2 linked regions of the Diceros bicornis minor genome follow. The protein of the gene in region 2 interacts with the protein of the main gene of each other region in a biochemical or structural test. Links are inferred from orthologs where the notes say so. Each region holds a gene or a part of one and is shown on either strand. Other genes may lie near its edges. The genes, in order: RASGRP3 and PRKCB.

Region 1 (7,975 bases), on a different chromosome or scaffold from region 2:
TAAAAGGAGGATCTGAGCTGATTCTGTTGTCAAACTAGGTCTGCTGCTTGGGGAAAAGGAAATTGTCAACAATTCCAGAACCAGAAACTACAGTACAATTAAATTTGTAAGTATATTTACCTTATGAAGTAGCAGATCTTTAATCGAAATTCGTTGCAACTTTCTCCACTGGCATTTCGATACGTACACTAGTTAAAGAAAAAATCCTTGCATCTTGTTTCCTTTACACACACCTTCAGCTGTTTGATCAGTTTAGATGAATTCCTAATAAGAGGGCCATACTGGGGACATTTGGGTTATGTGGACGTTCAAATGGGGAGAGAAGTGGGTTCTGATGACATCAACACTGAATAACTTAAACTTGATGTGTTATTACTCTGTGATGTATTTTTTGGTCTGGAAGGGAACGCACATAAAATTAGTTTTACCTTTCTGAGCATGTACCAAGTGATGACTGTCAACTGTAATTACAAATATACTGCCAATTATAGATAATTTAAAATTGATAGTCATGTGAGCCAAAATGATTTTGTATTTAGGATTAATGCCTTATATAAGTACTCTAATTTCTTTGGTATTTGAAAATGTCATTTTTAGGTATATTAATACATGGGTTGTGTTGTAATTTCTTCTTAAGTTTGTTTATTCATACTCTTTTTAACAAAATTTTATTGAACTCCTGCTATTTACCAGGCGCTGTGGATATGTGGCGAGCAAGAAATCCAAAGGGAGGAAAATCTAAAGAAATGTTGATTCACAGGCAGTTTCAACTTTTATACAATCTGTACTTGCAGATAGTAGACTTGACTATGCCTAAATATCCTTTTTTATTTGTGTTTCATACATCAGTGGACATACTAATGAAAACGCTGTTTGTGGGTACATTCCTTAGACAATGTTTGGATCCTGAGGAGGGATAGGGCCAGACTGAGTCAATCATCTCCATCCTTCCCTATGCGCTACCCTCAATAGCAGGACCCGGAAACTGTTGGAACACTGGGGACTAGGATCTTGTTCACTTCCAGGGACCTCTTTAGGGTGAATGTACCATTATCCTCTGTAACATTCCCTTCTGCCCTGAGTTGTGGGGAGGATAAAGGGAAGAAGTTGAAAGTGGAGGAAGCTTGAAGTGAGCAGGTGGAAGCCCCACTTGGCCCTAATAACACTTAACGGACCCTGTCCCTCTCAGATATCCCCTGCCCTGTAAGGCTTCTTACCCATTTGCAGGGCCTCCTGGGCTTGAAGTAGGCAGAGACTGCAGGAACCAACATTAGTGATTACGTAATATACCTTAGACCTCACGGAATAAAAGCTCCTTATAAATGTGAGACTATTTTGCCATTTTCAGTCATTTGGCTTTCAACTACCTTTCAGGACTGCATTATGTACAAAAGTGGCGGACTGATAAAAGCCCTTATTATAGAAGGAGTTTCTAACTATTTTTTTTTGCTTTTATGGCAGAAGGAAATCTAAAATTAATATCAATCAACAAATTACAATAAACCTGCTAGAATGTTCTTTGTGTCTTGCCAGGAAGGGAAGATGTGGAAACTTAGGTGGTGTTTATGCCTGAGCTAGATCATATTATTTTGGCTGGCATTTCCGTATGCCTAAGCTGTATCCTCTAGGTCCATCATTTTGCCATCCTAAAAGAAATAAATTAGATCGTGAATCAGTGTTAAATATTCTCGCATTGTACTAACAGCAGAAGTGTTTAAGACAAGTTAGAAATATTCAGCCTACAGCTCCTGTTTCATTTTATATCTACTGACTATTTTCAAGTGGAGCCAAAACATCCAGAAGGATAGTCAACTATTTGGTCCATCATCCAGATGTTTTGTCTAGCCATCTATATATATTCTCAAAACAGCTGGATAACTGACTGAAGACTGTTTATTCATCTTAATTTACTGGCTTTGGTTACACACTCTATCTAAATACAGAACTTGATTTATGATTGTAAAAATTACACAGTAGTTGAAAAGATATATGCAGAGAAGTTTTTCTGCCAATTCAGTGGAAGATAAATACCATCGGTGCATTAGTAGAACTATTCTTGGCAAATAACTATTATTCAGCTCTCCATTGTCATCTGTTAAAAAATAAAATAAAATGAGTGGTGAGGAGACAACAGTACTACTCTTCTCTTTTTCTAATATCAGTAGAGAAACATTAGTGTCAAAAATTTCTCATAGACCCAATTACTGTTTTCCTCCTACTTCTGCTGGCATTTCCTTGCATGTTAAGTGGGTCGGTCTCACCGTTCTGGTTTACGGTTGCCAGATTTAGCAAATAAAAGTACAGGACACTTAGATAAATTTGAATTAACATAAACCACCTATAACTTTTTAGTATAAGTATGTCCCGTGTATTATTTAGGACATACTTATAGTAAAAATATGGTTTACCTGAAATTCAGATTTAACTGATCATCCTGTATTTTTTATCTGGCAACCCCACTCTGGTTTAACTCTTCCTATAACAATTAATTCAGCAAATAACTCCTTTGTGACCCTATTTGTGCAAGGAATAATCCAAAACACATAAACAACATAAAAAGCATATAGCTGTAAAGTCTATAATCTAGTAGGAGATATAAGATATATATGCAAATATAGAATGCAGCAGATTGTTCTACCCACACTTGTCTAAGGCAAAAGACCAAGAAATGATCACAGCAGCATATACCATGTGCTATCAGAAAGTTACAAGGGGCTGTGGGAGGGCAGAGGAAGCAATCAGCATTCCTGACGGGGAGGTTAGGAATGGTGTTATGAACATCGGAGATGACATCTGAGATGAGCCCTGAAGCAGATTTTCAATGAAAGGCATGGAGGTAGAAAGATGCAGAGAATGTTCCAGAAACATTAAGTGGACAGTGTGGCTGGAGTATGAACTGTGGGCAGTAAAAGGAAGGAAATGCAGAGATCAGCGATACTGGGGAAACGGATTAGGGTCAATCAAAAAGACCTTAAATACCAAGGTATGGAGATTGAAATCCATTCCACAGAAACATTTGTATCTGAATAGGAGGAAGTGATGGTATCAAGATATACAAAGAGAGAAAAGGCTCGTACCAAACATCTCAATGCAAGTACTCAGCAATTCATCTAATGTTGCTGCTTTCCCAAGTCCACTTGACCCCATGGTTATGCAACCGTTGTCAAAAAACTAGAGACATTTTCAGCATCAGACAGACCACCTCCATAATCATGCAAGTTGGTGATGTTTGTGCCTAGTGGTGGTCTCTGTCCTTAATTATACTTCAAGATGCTAAAGAAACAAGAAAAGAAAGTTATCAGACTAGAGTTCAGACCCCATTAAAGCGTCACTTTCCTACCCGAAAAGATAATGACTTTCATTGACTGTATCTTTCTAAAAGAAAAGTATCAAAGCAACAGAGATTGCATCAACCACCATGATGGCAAAATGCCTGCTAAGTTGTCCTTTAGCATGTATGGTGCTCTGAGAACATGGAGATGTTCCCTATTAAGCATCATCCCATTTTGCAGCTGATATTTTTTGATACATATTTTATACTTTCTTCATATTCTTAAGTGGTAAGACTTTCAAGAATATTATAAACATGGTTTAATGTTATTACAAATATATAGAGGGAGATAAATTTTAAAGTGCAAATATATTTATGAGCATTATCCTCAGTGATCATATAAATGTTCAACAACTGGTTAAAAAAAAATCTTTTTTGTCTAAGTTTTCCAATAGTAACAGTATTAGTAGTAGTAGTAAAAATATTAACAACAATCTGTTGAACACCCAGATTATGTACCAGGCACCATACCAAATGCTTTACATATATTATCCAACTTGACCTTCAGAACAATACTGTGAGGTAGTAATTATTATTCCTAGTTTACAGATGAGATCATGGGATTCACAGAGATTGAGTAACTTGTCCAAAAAACTCACACAATTATTAAGGTCTAGAATCAGGACTCTATTATAAAATACAGCTTTGGGGTTCCCTTTTCCCTTTTACTATTCCCCGAAGTGTGGATATCACACGCTGTCATAATTTTGTCCCCTTAATCTAGTGTGATGAATATCATTCCTCCACATCGTCTCAGAGAAAGGATATAAGCCAGATTATCTGTCACAGAGGTAGAAGAAAAATGTGGGGATGACAGCAGTCCCATTTTATAGCACTGTTGTGGGGAAAAAGTGATTTGAAACAAGCTCTTAGAGCTGCTTATACAGAAAGTATCCCTGTTGGGGACACACAAACATCTTATTTTACAGAGCAAGTCCTTGATGCCAGGTGCCTATAGGGTTTGAGGTCCAGAGGTCACCAGGATGTAAGACGGTTATCCCCTTTGGACAGTTTAGTAGGTAAATGTGGCCATTGGGAATTCATCTCATGAACTGTTTGAAGTCAATGTCTCTTTTACTTTCAAAATTTATTTATTCAGCTGGTAATCGTTGAGCACTTGACAAATGCTAGGCACTGGGCTAGGCATTGAGACTGGCAAGATGAACAAATCATTGTCCCATCCCTGTCTTCAATGGGCTCATAGTCAACTTCAGAAAGCAAACACATGAAGGAACAGGGAAAAAAGCTAATTTCCATATGTATGGTTGTATTAGTTCAATAGGACCACTGAAGAGTGGCATTTCAGTGAATCTATTCACCAGGCATATCACTATGGAGGAAAAATGTTTACTGTGTATTATTTCTGTGTAAGAGTCATATTCTTGTGCTGAATCTACTACTCGTAGAGCATAAAAAGAAGGGTTATCTCACATGTGCAATAAAAATAACAGGAACCCTGGATCAATGCTCTCCCACTTCTGCTGCTCAAATGATTTGTGAAAGGGGGATATTAAAGTTGTCTGGAACCATCTCTTCTACCAAGTTACCTTATTGGTAAGGCCTTTCCTAACCATCCTATTTAAAACAACACTACTTCTTTCTCTGTGCCCACCTCCCACTTGGCATGCCCTACCTCGCTTCCTGGATTTATTTTTCTTCATAATACGTATCCCCATCTCACATACTATATATTTTACTTTATTTGTTTTTTAGTCTCTCTAGTACTGTAAACATAAGCTCCATGAACGTAGGGATTTTTGTGTTTGTTCTCTGGTTTACTCCCCAACTCCCAAGATTTTGCCTCTGATGTAGAAGATACTCAAAAAAGCATTTGCTAAATTAATGAATGAGTGGACGGATGGATGAATAAATGAATAAAATGAAAATTGTCAAAATTTTGTCTTTGAATAGGTGTATATTTGTATGAATGTGTACTATAAATTTTTAAAAGGCTATTTTTAAATGTGATTTACTAATTTAAATCAGCTTTTAGCAAACATCACTGGGACAGAAGTTCCTGCCAGCTTTCTAGACTTAATAGCGTCTGCTTATTTTCATAATAAGAACCTCTTCCAGGACATTTTGGGTCAGCACTTCTCTGATTTCCCTAATATAAATTCTGCCAATCCCATTGGACAATTGACAAGTTTGATTACCTTATAGTATATACAGAATTTTTTATCTTGTTAACTCTTGTTACTGAGTAGTAAATATATTACTTAGAACCAAACAGCCTAGATTAATTAAACCAGTTTCTCTGGTCAAAACCAAAATTATTCACCTGATCTGTTTGGGGAAGGTTTTGACCTTCTACAAGGGGTTAGAAATAACCTGCTACCAAAGACCTGTCACCATTGTTTGGAGTTATATTTGTGATCTGCCAAGGAGTCAGCACATGAGAGCCAGGTGGGCCGAGCTCTCTGGTTACAATCTGTTTCTGCAATCAGTAGATGTGTCTGAATCCCTGCTTAGCATTCAGTCACCTACACATGTACCTGAGATCTCATTTCATATGTGTGGATATTATTGTGTCTACAACTGCTTTTTCACAAATAAACCTTCTTTATTGTAAAAGCAACATACATTCATCATTTAAAATAGGATAGTAAGGGAAAAGAAATCTCATCATCCAAAGATAACTTGTTAATATCATGGCATGTTTCTTTTCATTTTTCTAGGCACATTTATTTTGGTGAGTTTCTTACATAATCTACAATAGTTTAAAGAAATACTTACCTATCAGTTTCACACAGATAGATATTCAGGTCTGAAAGAATTTTAAGGGCACTTATCATCATCAGAAAATGCACTGGGGACACAATCTATAGAAGTTTTTATCCAGCCTGAATAACAGGTACTTTGGAGAACCTGATAAAAGAACAGAAAGAAATCCCCAGACAGAGTTAAATAATACAAAACTAAAAGAATTCACATTATGTTAAAGAATTTCCAAAACCCTTGAATTATAAGTGGTTTTTGAGATTTTGTCTAAACTTCAGCCACAGAGTCAATTAAAACAAAAAATATTCAAAATATTTTGGTGACATGATATTTTTTAAATCAAGTAGCTAAACAAAAATTCAGCCTATTAAAAACCTACAAATGGGGCAAAACCAAAATTTATACACATAGTATAAAATACTATTTTAGTCCAAATATACATATATCAGTGGATTACTCATTAAGAATTTCCAAACAGTGACTTTGGAATGTTAGTAAATCTCTAAAACAGTTTGTTGTGGTGATCATCAAACTCTGATCTAAATCTCTCCTGAGTGTCTCAACGTGAATGTCAATGTTATTTTAGTCCAGGCTGTTTAGTCTCCCAATGGTTTAGGACTTGCTTTAGTGTTGATAGGTACTCTCTGGCTGCAATGAAAATGATTGTTCCCCAGCATCAACATTTCTCACAAATCTGAAAAGGACACAATAAGCCAAAATTTCCCCAGGGCTTGAATTATTTCTAGGAGAAAAGTTCTCTCTTCCAAAGGGCAATAGAGTTCTGTTGAGTGTGATTTCCAAAAGCCATGATGAGTTCATACAGCAAAAGACTTTGATTAACAAGACTGGCAAAGCCTCTATCTTCAAAAAAAAATCCTCGTGAGATTGCCTGGGACAATAAGGACTATGCTCCCGATTTTAGAAATAGTGAAAAGGAGCCAATTCCATGCAACTATCCATCAACAGATATAAATTAGCACCCAGGCTCTTGACTCAGAACTTTTAGAGTAATTAAAAATTGGATTTCAACATTAGATAAACAAATGAGGAAAGTTTTACTTACCTCTGAGTAAAATGCCATTAATTCTGCTTACTCTACTAGATTGTTTAAGAAGTTAGTGAGGTAACATAAAATGCACCCACATGTGTCCTGCAAAACAGTGGGTGCTTGGGAAAGGTGTTGCCTTTTGCCTGCACTACCTCTTCCCTTCCAATATTTAAAGGCTTTTAAGTTGAGGACTTAAGGTGATGTAGAGGACCTACGTGTAGAAGTGACAGAAAGAGAGATGTTAGTTTAGAGAACGTAAAAGAAAATGGGAGAAAAAATATTGTGGCACTAGAGCATCTACTAGTGGGGCAGGTGGCCTCATCAGCAATGGAATCCCATTCCTGAAAGTTCTTGAGCCAAAGTAAGGTAATGACTGTCAGAGATGTTGTAGACTAAATTCCCAGACGGTGTCTAGGAAGCATGCCAAAATGACAGCAAAAGTTGCTTCTGGCTCTAGGATTGAAGGATTTATAAGGTGAAATATTATATCTAGTAAGTATTCAACAAATAGTTTTAAAATGATGTTGGCCATATTAGAACTTCCAAAGATAGTCTTGTCTATAGCATTATCTCTATTGCAAGAAGAAACAAACAAAAACCCTTGAAGACTCTTCCCTCCTAATGGCCGATATTATCTTTATAACTATATGACCATGGATATGTCTTTACATTCATATGCCCTTCATATGGAGACAAGGGGGTTTCTCTAAATGCCTAAATCCTTTGTGAAAATGAGTGGTAATTATTACAAATCTTTAAGCCTTAAGGATTAAGAACTAAGGTGTCATAGCATTTTTTGTTCCGGCAACATTCAAGCTTATCTCCCTTTCTCACCATAGACATAAGATTTTTATTTATTTATTTATTTATTTATT
Region 2 (7,469 bases):
GGATCTCCTGCTTCAGATGTGTCATCATCCTCACATTCTAAAATGACTTTCCCAACCATTAATAACTGCAGAGCAGGTGGGATAGGAGAGTAGCAGTAAAGATGTTCAAAAATCATCCTGACCTCAGCATGAGACAAAGACAGAAACCGATTCATGGAAACGAAAGGTAACCTCAAATATCTACGCATTCCGGCACCAAGACACCATTGGTATTCTGCTTGAAGGGTCAGACAAAGTTCTAGAAAACAATCCAACTGTTTGCACCAGGACCTCAGTTGTTGCCACTCAAAGGGATTTGGGAAGTCCTCCAGGCAGTGCATGAAATTGGGGCTCCAGAGGCTGGGCGGGTCACTGGCTGAGCCGGCCCTGTCCCAGATCTCAAGGGAGAAGACACAAGAGCCTTAGAAGACAGCAGTGCCATGCTGTGAGCATTCTGTACAGCTGACAATGCCACCCACCCTCACCGGGATCACTTTACTTTTCCCTGGAGGGCGGAGGTGCTACAACAAGACTGTCAATCAGTGCTAGGGCACATAGACTTCTTAACAGTCAAACACTTTCTTCTCCTCATCTAAACCCTGCTCACCAGGACGGCCAATTTGCCCCTAGGACATACCCCAGAAATGTGACATTTCTCACCAAACTCAACCACGCCTGGCCCAAATTGGGGGAGGGGGGGCAGGGGGGACGACTCTCCAGACCAGAAGTTGCAAACTCAAATGACTACAGGTGCCAGAAACGGGTGAAGCAGGCCTGGTGGGGAGGCACTGAGACAAAATGGTGAACATGCGCCTTGTCTATGGAAACAGCTGCTCTCAGCTCCAAATGATTGTTCTGACAAGAAAGTGGGACCAATCCTCAGCAACCTCGAAGCTGGAAATTCAGATGAGTATGTGAAATCTCCCACTTCAAAAACGTTGACATCAAATTCAAAAAACGTTTGACACCTATGGGCTAAACAAGACTATCGGTGATTTGGCCCTGGAGAGCAAACCTGTAAGCAGAGACAGTGAGGCCACCTTACACATGATTAAAAGACACCACTAGGTTGGGCATCCCCAGCTAGGGTCAAGGATCTCAAACCAGATGCAAGGACCCAGGTGACCAGCCACTTGGAGTCCCTCCTGTATCTAGCCAGAAGATAGAAAGGGTGATTTAAAGCAGGATCTGAGAGGCAGCCCATCTGGAACCACCTCTTTGAGAGAGGGAGGAGGCCCAGGGACAACCACAGTCACCTTTCAAGGGGATGCACCATCTGCAGAGGCAGCAGCCACCTGCAGAGACCTCTGTGAGGCAGGAGAAGAAGCAGAATCCCACTCTGTGACATGAGGAAGGGCAAGTGAGCAGGAATTAGGGAGGAGGGGTCCTCCCAGAAATGGCCCCTGGAGACACTTCCTCCAGAAGCAGGATTAGCCAGGCAGGACAGGCTCAGGAGACCCGTTTTGACTCTTCTGGAGCTGGGACAGGGGAAAGGGTGGATGCATTTCCTTGGCCTGTAGGCCTTCCCAGCTCCACCAGCCTTTCCTGGATGGAGCATCACTGCCCCATAAACACACACCCCTTAAAAGGACCCTTTTGTGGTGATGAATTCCTAGCATGGGAGGTCACTCTGACAAAAGTGATTCCTTCACTCTCTGCCTAACTCAGTCACTTCTAGAAAGTCTTTTTCACCATCTCTTCCCACAAACAGCATCCCCAGATCCCCACAGCCTACCTTGGCACTGGAATCCTTGCTTCCCGAAGCCCCTGCGAAGAGAGAAGGAGGCATGTCAGGCAGCCCGAGGGGCCCAGCCACCAGCTACTTCCCCCACAGTCACCCCCCCTTCCTCCTACCCCTGCCCCGCTACCCCAGGTGCAACCTCCCAGCCACAGGCGGGTGCCCAAGAGTCTTCCGCCTTTGGGGGGAGGGGAGTAGGTGGGAGCTCGGCGGTAACCCCCACCTCCCCTCAGAAGGCAGAAGAGAGGAGGTTGCTGCGACCACCAGGCGGCGGGATGGGGGGAGCGTTTCCGTGGTGGGGGCGGAGGGCAGGCGGGAGATCTGCCCACAGAGATGCCCGAGCACCCTCGGGAAAGAGAAGAGAAAAAGATGTATCCAGAGGCAGGATGAGAGAGACCCGGGGGAGGTGGTGTTCCCTGGGGGACTGGGAAGGGAGAGAGGACTCCCCATGCCTTGAGGGACAGCGGGGAGAAAGGGGCCCGCAGTGATGTGAGTGGGGGGAGACTAAGAAGTGGCAAGGAGAACCCAGGCCCTCAGGGAGGCGCAATCGGAGATAACACAGGCGCAGCCCCCAGAGACACAGAGGAGGAAAGGATGCCCCATGCCCGCAGGGAGATAGAGCCAGGACTCCCAGGACGCTGTCCCCGGAAAGGAGCGGAGAGGGTGAGGGCGCCTCGAGCCCGGAAGGAGGCGGAGAGATAGGGAACCCTGGGCGAGAGGGCACCCGGGGCGCTGCCCTCCGAGGGAGGGACAGACACCCCGCGCTCTGAACCAGGTGAAGAAAAGGCGCCCGCGACGCGGCCCCTAGGCGCTCCGGAGGCGCCCCGCGGGCGGCCGTCTGGGGCCGAGGGGAGAGGGAACCCGCAGGACTGTCCACCAGGGAGTCCGGGGCAGAAGGCTCCGGAGCCAGGAGCCCGGGGACGCCGAGCCCGGCGGGGCTGCTTCTCCCTTGGGGACGCGGAGGGCACGGAGAGGGGGTCCCCGCGCGCGGCGCTGCCCTCGAGGACCCCGGGAAGGTGCCCTGCGCCGGCGCGCTCTCACCAGATGAAGTCGGTGCAGTGGCTGCAGAAGGTGGGCTGCTTGAAGAAGCGGGCGGTGAATTTGTGGTTCTTCACCTCGTGCACGTTCTTCTGCCGGAGGGCGCCTTTGCGGGCGAAGCGCACGGTGCTCTCCTCGCCCTCGCCTGGCGCCGGCCCCGCAGCCGGGTCAGCCATCTTGCGCGCGGGGAGCGGGAGCCCGAGAGGTGCCGGCCCCGGGGCCGTGGGACCGCGGGCTGCGGGCCCGGGAGGCGCGGGAGGCGGCCGCTGCTGCCGCCCGGGGCCGCGGGCGCTTCCCCTGCGCCGGCTCTGGCGGCCGCGGCGCGCGGAGCTGGGGCTGTCACTCGCCCAGCTGCCGCCGCTCGTCCAGCTGCGCTTGGCACCGCTGGCCCCAGCTGCGGGGGAGGGAGGCGGAGCCCGGGCAGACCCCGCCTCCCTCATTTGCATCGCGCCCCAGGCCCCGCCCAGCGCCGCCAGCTGCTTTACATATTGGCACCCGGAGGCTGCCGGTCTCCCAGAGAAGTGTTAGCCGCAGCGCTGCGGCGCGGGGACCGCAGCCTGCGATCGTCAGACCTGAGCCTCGCTCCCTACCCCGTCCTTGGCCTGGGGTTGCCTTAGGAAGATGAGCACGTCCCGGGGGAACCGAGACCGGAAGGCCCGACGAGGGCCGGGGGTAGGGGGTGGAAAGGGTGGGCGCGACTGATTTCACCCCGGCCTCTGCAGACTGGTACCCATCCAACCCCCATCCATCCCATTGGTCATTCTGCACCCGTCTCCTGTAGGGATGGGCTCCCGCTGTCACTCACTCGGAAAGGCCTGTGGTTCCACACACTTACACACACATACGCACACACGTACCGCAGAGGTAGGGGAGGAGCAATCTTTATTTTAAATGTGTCTAACTCCACCACAAAGACAATTCTTGGCTTTGCTTGCCCGACCATTTAGATGAGAACTCCCTACCTCCCTATCCATCCCCTCCATAAAGAGACTCAGTTTCCTCGACTGTAAAATGGGGCTAATAAAGGAGGTGAGGGAGAAACTTAATAGGTCAGCATTTCCTCAACTTTAATTCATTCCTGACCCGTCTTCACAAATTCTGGTCATATTTGTGCACCATCTGAAAAAAGTCTATCTGGTTTCTGAGTTCGAACAGCAAAAGGTATCCATACAAATCTGTAAACTTTGTATGGGTTTACAGATGCTGCCAACTGCCCAAAACATCTGCGTCTGAGGCCTTTTATTTCTTAAGAAGGGAGATTAACAACTAATAGAGAGATGTTAAAGACACGCTAACATCCAACTGGGACTCTCTCCTGGATGGAATCTGAAGAATGGAAAGATAATCAAAAGAGTAATAATTGTTAGATGGGTAATGCAGTGTGATTTAGAGCCCTGTCCATGCACTACGTCTAAACATCCCCCCACGGTGCCCCACACTCTGGGAACACAGCACTGCATTAGACTACGAACTCCTTGACTAGACCTAGGCTCTGAGGGCAGGAGCTGCTTGCCATTGTGTCATCCGGCACCGAGCTCAGTGCCTGAAACCTTCTAAGAGCTCCATAAATATTAGTTGAATGAGTGTGTGATTGTGCGAACCAATGAGTGAATGTAAATTTAAAGGACAGCACCCTTTACCCCCACCTGTATCCAGTAGGTGTTCAATAATAATAAACATCAGGTGCTGGGTGTATGTCAGGTACCTGTACTGTCTTATTTAGTTCTCCCAACAACCGTGTGTAGGTCCGCTAACTTTCATTATGGATAAGGACGGTGATGCTCAGCGTGATTAAGATATACACTCAAAGTCACACCGTTGAATGATGGCTACAAAGCATACTCATGTTCAAGGGGTGAAAAAGGGCAGGATGGAGTTGCACCAGTGACACTGAACTTCTGCCTAGTGAAGCTCAGGTCCCACTATGACAATTTTGCCCAGAAGCTGCTGAGTGGTAAGTCATTATTAGGTGGCATGTGGAGAGCGATGGCTGTCCTAACAGAATGTCCCTTCCCTACACAGTAATTCAAAGGTAACAAGGCAAAAATAGCATTCACTTTTAAGGTTGACATGTTTGGGAAACTGGACGTGCCTGTCTATTATTAGTCCTTTAAAAGGCCCCATCACCTCCCAGGGAGGCTTGAGAAAACATCCCAGGAGATATTGCTGCTGAAGTAGATTTCCTTTGAACCGATGAGCTGGAAGCTTGCAGCCCACATCCTGCCTTTTGAACAAAGTGCTCTGGATGACTTTGGTCTATAACAACAAACAGTACCTCATGAGGCCTGGGCCTGAAGATGCAAGGGCTGGTGGATCCTGAAGAACCATTCGGTTCCTGGAGGGGCTGCACCATCTGAGGATAGAGGAACATAGTTTCCTTTGGACCCAGATCCCTATCAGGCAACAGTCTCAAACTGGTGGCCCTTGGATACATTTTTTTAGCCAGCGAGCAATTTTTTTTTTTTTTTGGTTCACATTTGGTAGAATTTCACCTAAATATCCAGATTCTGACTTCTCTAGGAAAAAAGATACGGCTATATGGAGCCCGAATTCCTCCACTCACTCATTCATTTGTTCATTCATTCAGCAATGAATTTATTGAGCACTTGCTATGTACTGTGCCACACGTTGTTAAAACAGTCCAAAGCCCCTGCCTTCATGGAGCTTACAGTCTAAAGGGGAAGATGGACAATAACCTACTAAACTAACAAATCTATACAAGGTGGTGTGGAGATTCACGCTGTAAAGAAAAACAAAGCATGGTAAAGGAATAAAGAGTGACGGTGGCCAGGGAAATGCTTTATAACAAGGGGACATCCGAGCTAGAGCTGAACGAAGGAAGGGGGTGAGCCAGGCGGCTACCTGAGGGTAGGAAACAGCAAATGCAAGGAGCTGGAGGAGCAGCATGCTCAGCGTGTTGGAGAAACAGCAAGGAGGCCTCTGTGGCTGGAGTGGAGAGAGAGGCAAAAGCGGGTACAAGAGAGATCAGTAAGGCAGCAGGACTTGCAGACGGGGTAAGGAGTTCGGATTTCACTCCAGTGAATGGGAAGCCATTGGAGGGTTGAGAGCAAAGGAGTGGCCTGATATGACTTAGGTTTTTTTTTTTGTTTTTTGGGTTTTTTTTCTTGCAGGGGAAGATTTGCCCTGAGCTAACATTTGTTGCCAATCTTCCTGGTTTTTTTTTTTTCCCTCCCCAAAGTACCTGGTTGTATATCCTAGTTGTGCACCATTCTAGTTCTTCTGTGTGAGCCACCGCCACAGCATGGCTACTGACAGACGGGTGGTGTGGTTCTGTGCCGGGGAACCACACTCCGGCTGTTGAAGCAGATGCGCCAAACTTTCCCCACTAGGCCATCAGAGCTGGCTCTGGTTTTTTTGTTTTGTTTTGTTTTGTTTTTAAGATTACCCTGGCTACAATGAGGAAAATAGATTGAATGGGAGAAAGAGTAGAAATAAGTTGTGCAGTTGAGGTCATTTGCATAGACGGAGCAAGAGATGACGATAACTTGGCATGGTGCCACACGGAGTTAAAGGACAGCAGCTCCCTATAGATTGGGCATAGGCCCTGTAGGTCACCAGGGCCCCCATGTGGTCCACTGTGCTTATAAAGGAATGGATGCTGGCCACTTGAAAGATTTCAGAGGCATTGAGGAAGCAGGTTGCTCTGGCTTAGAGTGGAGTCCAAGGTCTCTTAAATCTAGGCTTCAAACTTGCTGTATATATTAGTTTCCTGTGGCTGCCATAACAAATTATCACAAAACTAATTGGCTAAAAATGATAGAAATTTATTCTCTCACAATTCTGCAGGCCAGAAGGCTGAAATCAAGTTGTCTGCTGGGCCCTACTCTCTCTGGAGGCTTTAGAGAAGGATCCCTCCCAGCCTCTTCCAAGTTCTGGTGGCTGGCAGCATTCCTTGGCTTCTTTGGCTTGTGGCCACATCATTCCCATCTCTGCCTCCATCTTCACATCAACTTCTCTTTGTGTGTCAGTCGTCTCCTCTTCTGTCTGTCTCATCTCCTCTGTGTCTCTCTTAAAAGGACACTGGTCATTAGATTTAGGGTTCACCCAGATAATCTGGAATAATCTCTTTATCTCAAGATCCTTAACTTAGTTACATCTGTAATAACCCTTTTCCAAACAAGGTAACATTCACAGGTTCCAGGAATTAGGACAGGGACATATCTTTGGGGGGCCACCATTCAACTCACTACATTGCATAACCCTGGGCAAGTCATTTCCTTCCTCTGTGTCTCACTTTCCTCCTCTGTAAGACAGGGGCAGAGATGTAGCAGATTGCCTCCAAATCTTTCCTTCTAAGGCTGCACTCTCCAATATAGTAGTCACTAGCCACATGTGGCTATTGAGCATTTGGAATGTAGCTAGTCTGAATTGAAATGTGATTATAAGTGTAAAATACACCCCAAAATATCAAGCACTTAGTAAGAAAAAGAAGGTAAAATATCTCACAAATATTTTTTTATCTTCATTGTATATTGAAATTATAATATTTTGGATGTATTGGCCTAAATCAAATTTCTCTCTAAAATTAGTTTCATTTTACTTTTTTAATGTGGCTACTAGAAAATGTAAAATTATGTATGTGGCTCACATCATATTTCTTTGGACACCTCTGTTCTAAAGAGTAGATTTAAGATAATATTAAATAAATTCATTTAAAAACTAGATAATCTAAATAAAAGCTCACCTCTATTCT

What was found.
Region 1: of the proteins of PRKCB (region 2) and RASGRP3, one has a biochemical effect on the other in vitro, tested with the Homo sapiens proteins (2 studies listed by BioGRID). The link is inferred for Diceros bicornis minor from reciprocal best matches to the Homo sapiens genes PRKCB and RASGRP3.

Annotation. Positions count from the first base shown.
Region 1 is NC_080751.1:49,879,543-49,887,517, forward strand, and holds the start of RASGRP3 (ras guanyl-releasing protein 3), read right to left. Parts: upstream 3,239-7,975; 5' UTR 3,148-3,238; coding exon 3,078-3,147; intron 2,093-3,077; coding exon 1,990-2,092; intron 184-1,989; coding exon 121-183; intron 1-120. UniProt on the Homo sapiens protein: Guanine nucleotide exchange factor (GEF) for Ras and Rap1.
Region 2 is NC_080765.1:27,956,409-27,963,877, forward strand, and holds the start of PRKCB (protein kinase C beta type), read right to left. Parts: upstream 3,070-7,469; 5' UTR 2,932-3,069; coding exon 2,759-2,931; intron 1,747-2,758; coding exon 1,715-1,746; intron 1-1,714. UniProt on the Homo sapiens protein: Calcium-activated, phospholipid- and diacylglycerol (DAG)-dependent serine/threonine-protein kinase involved in various cellular processes such as regulation of the B-cell receptor (BCR) signalosome, oxidative stress-induced apoptosis, androgen receptor-dependent transcription regulation, insulin signaling and endothelial cells proliferation.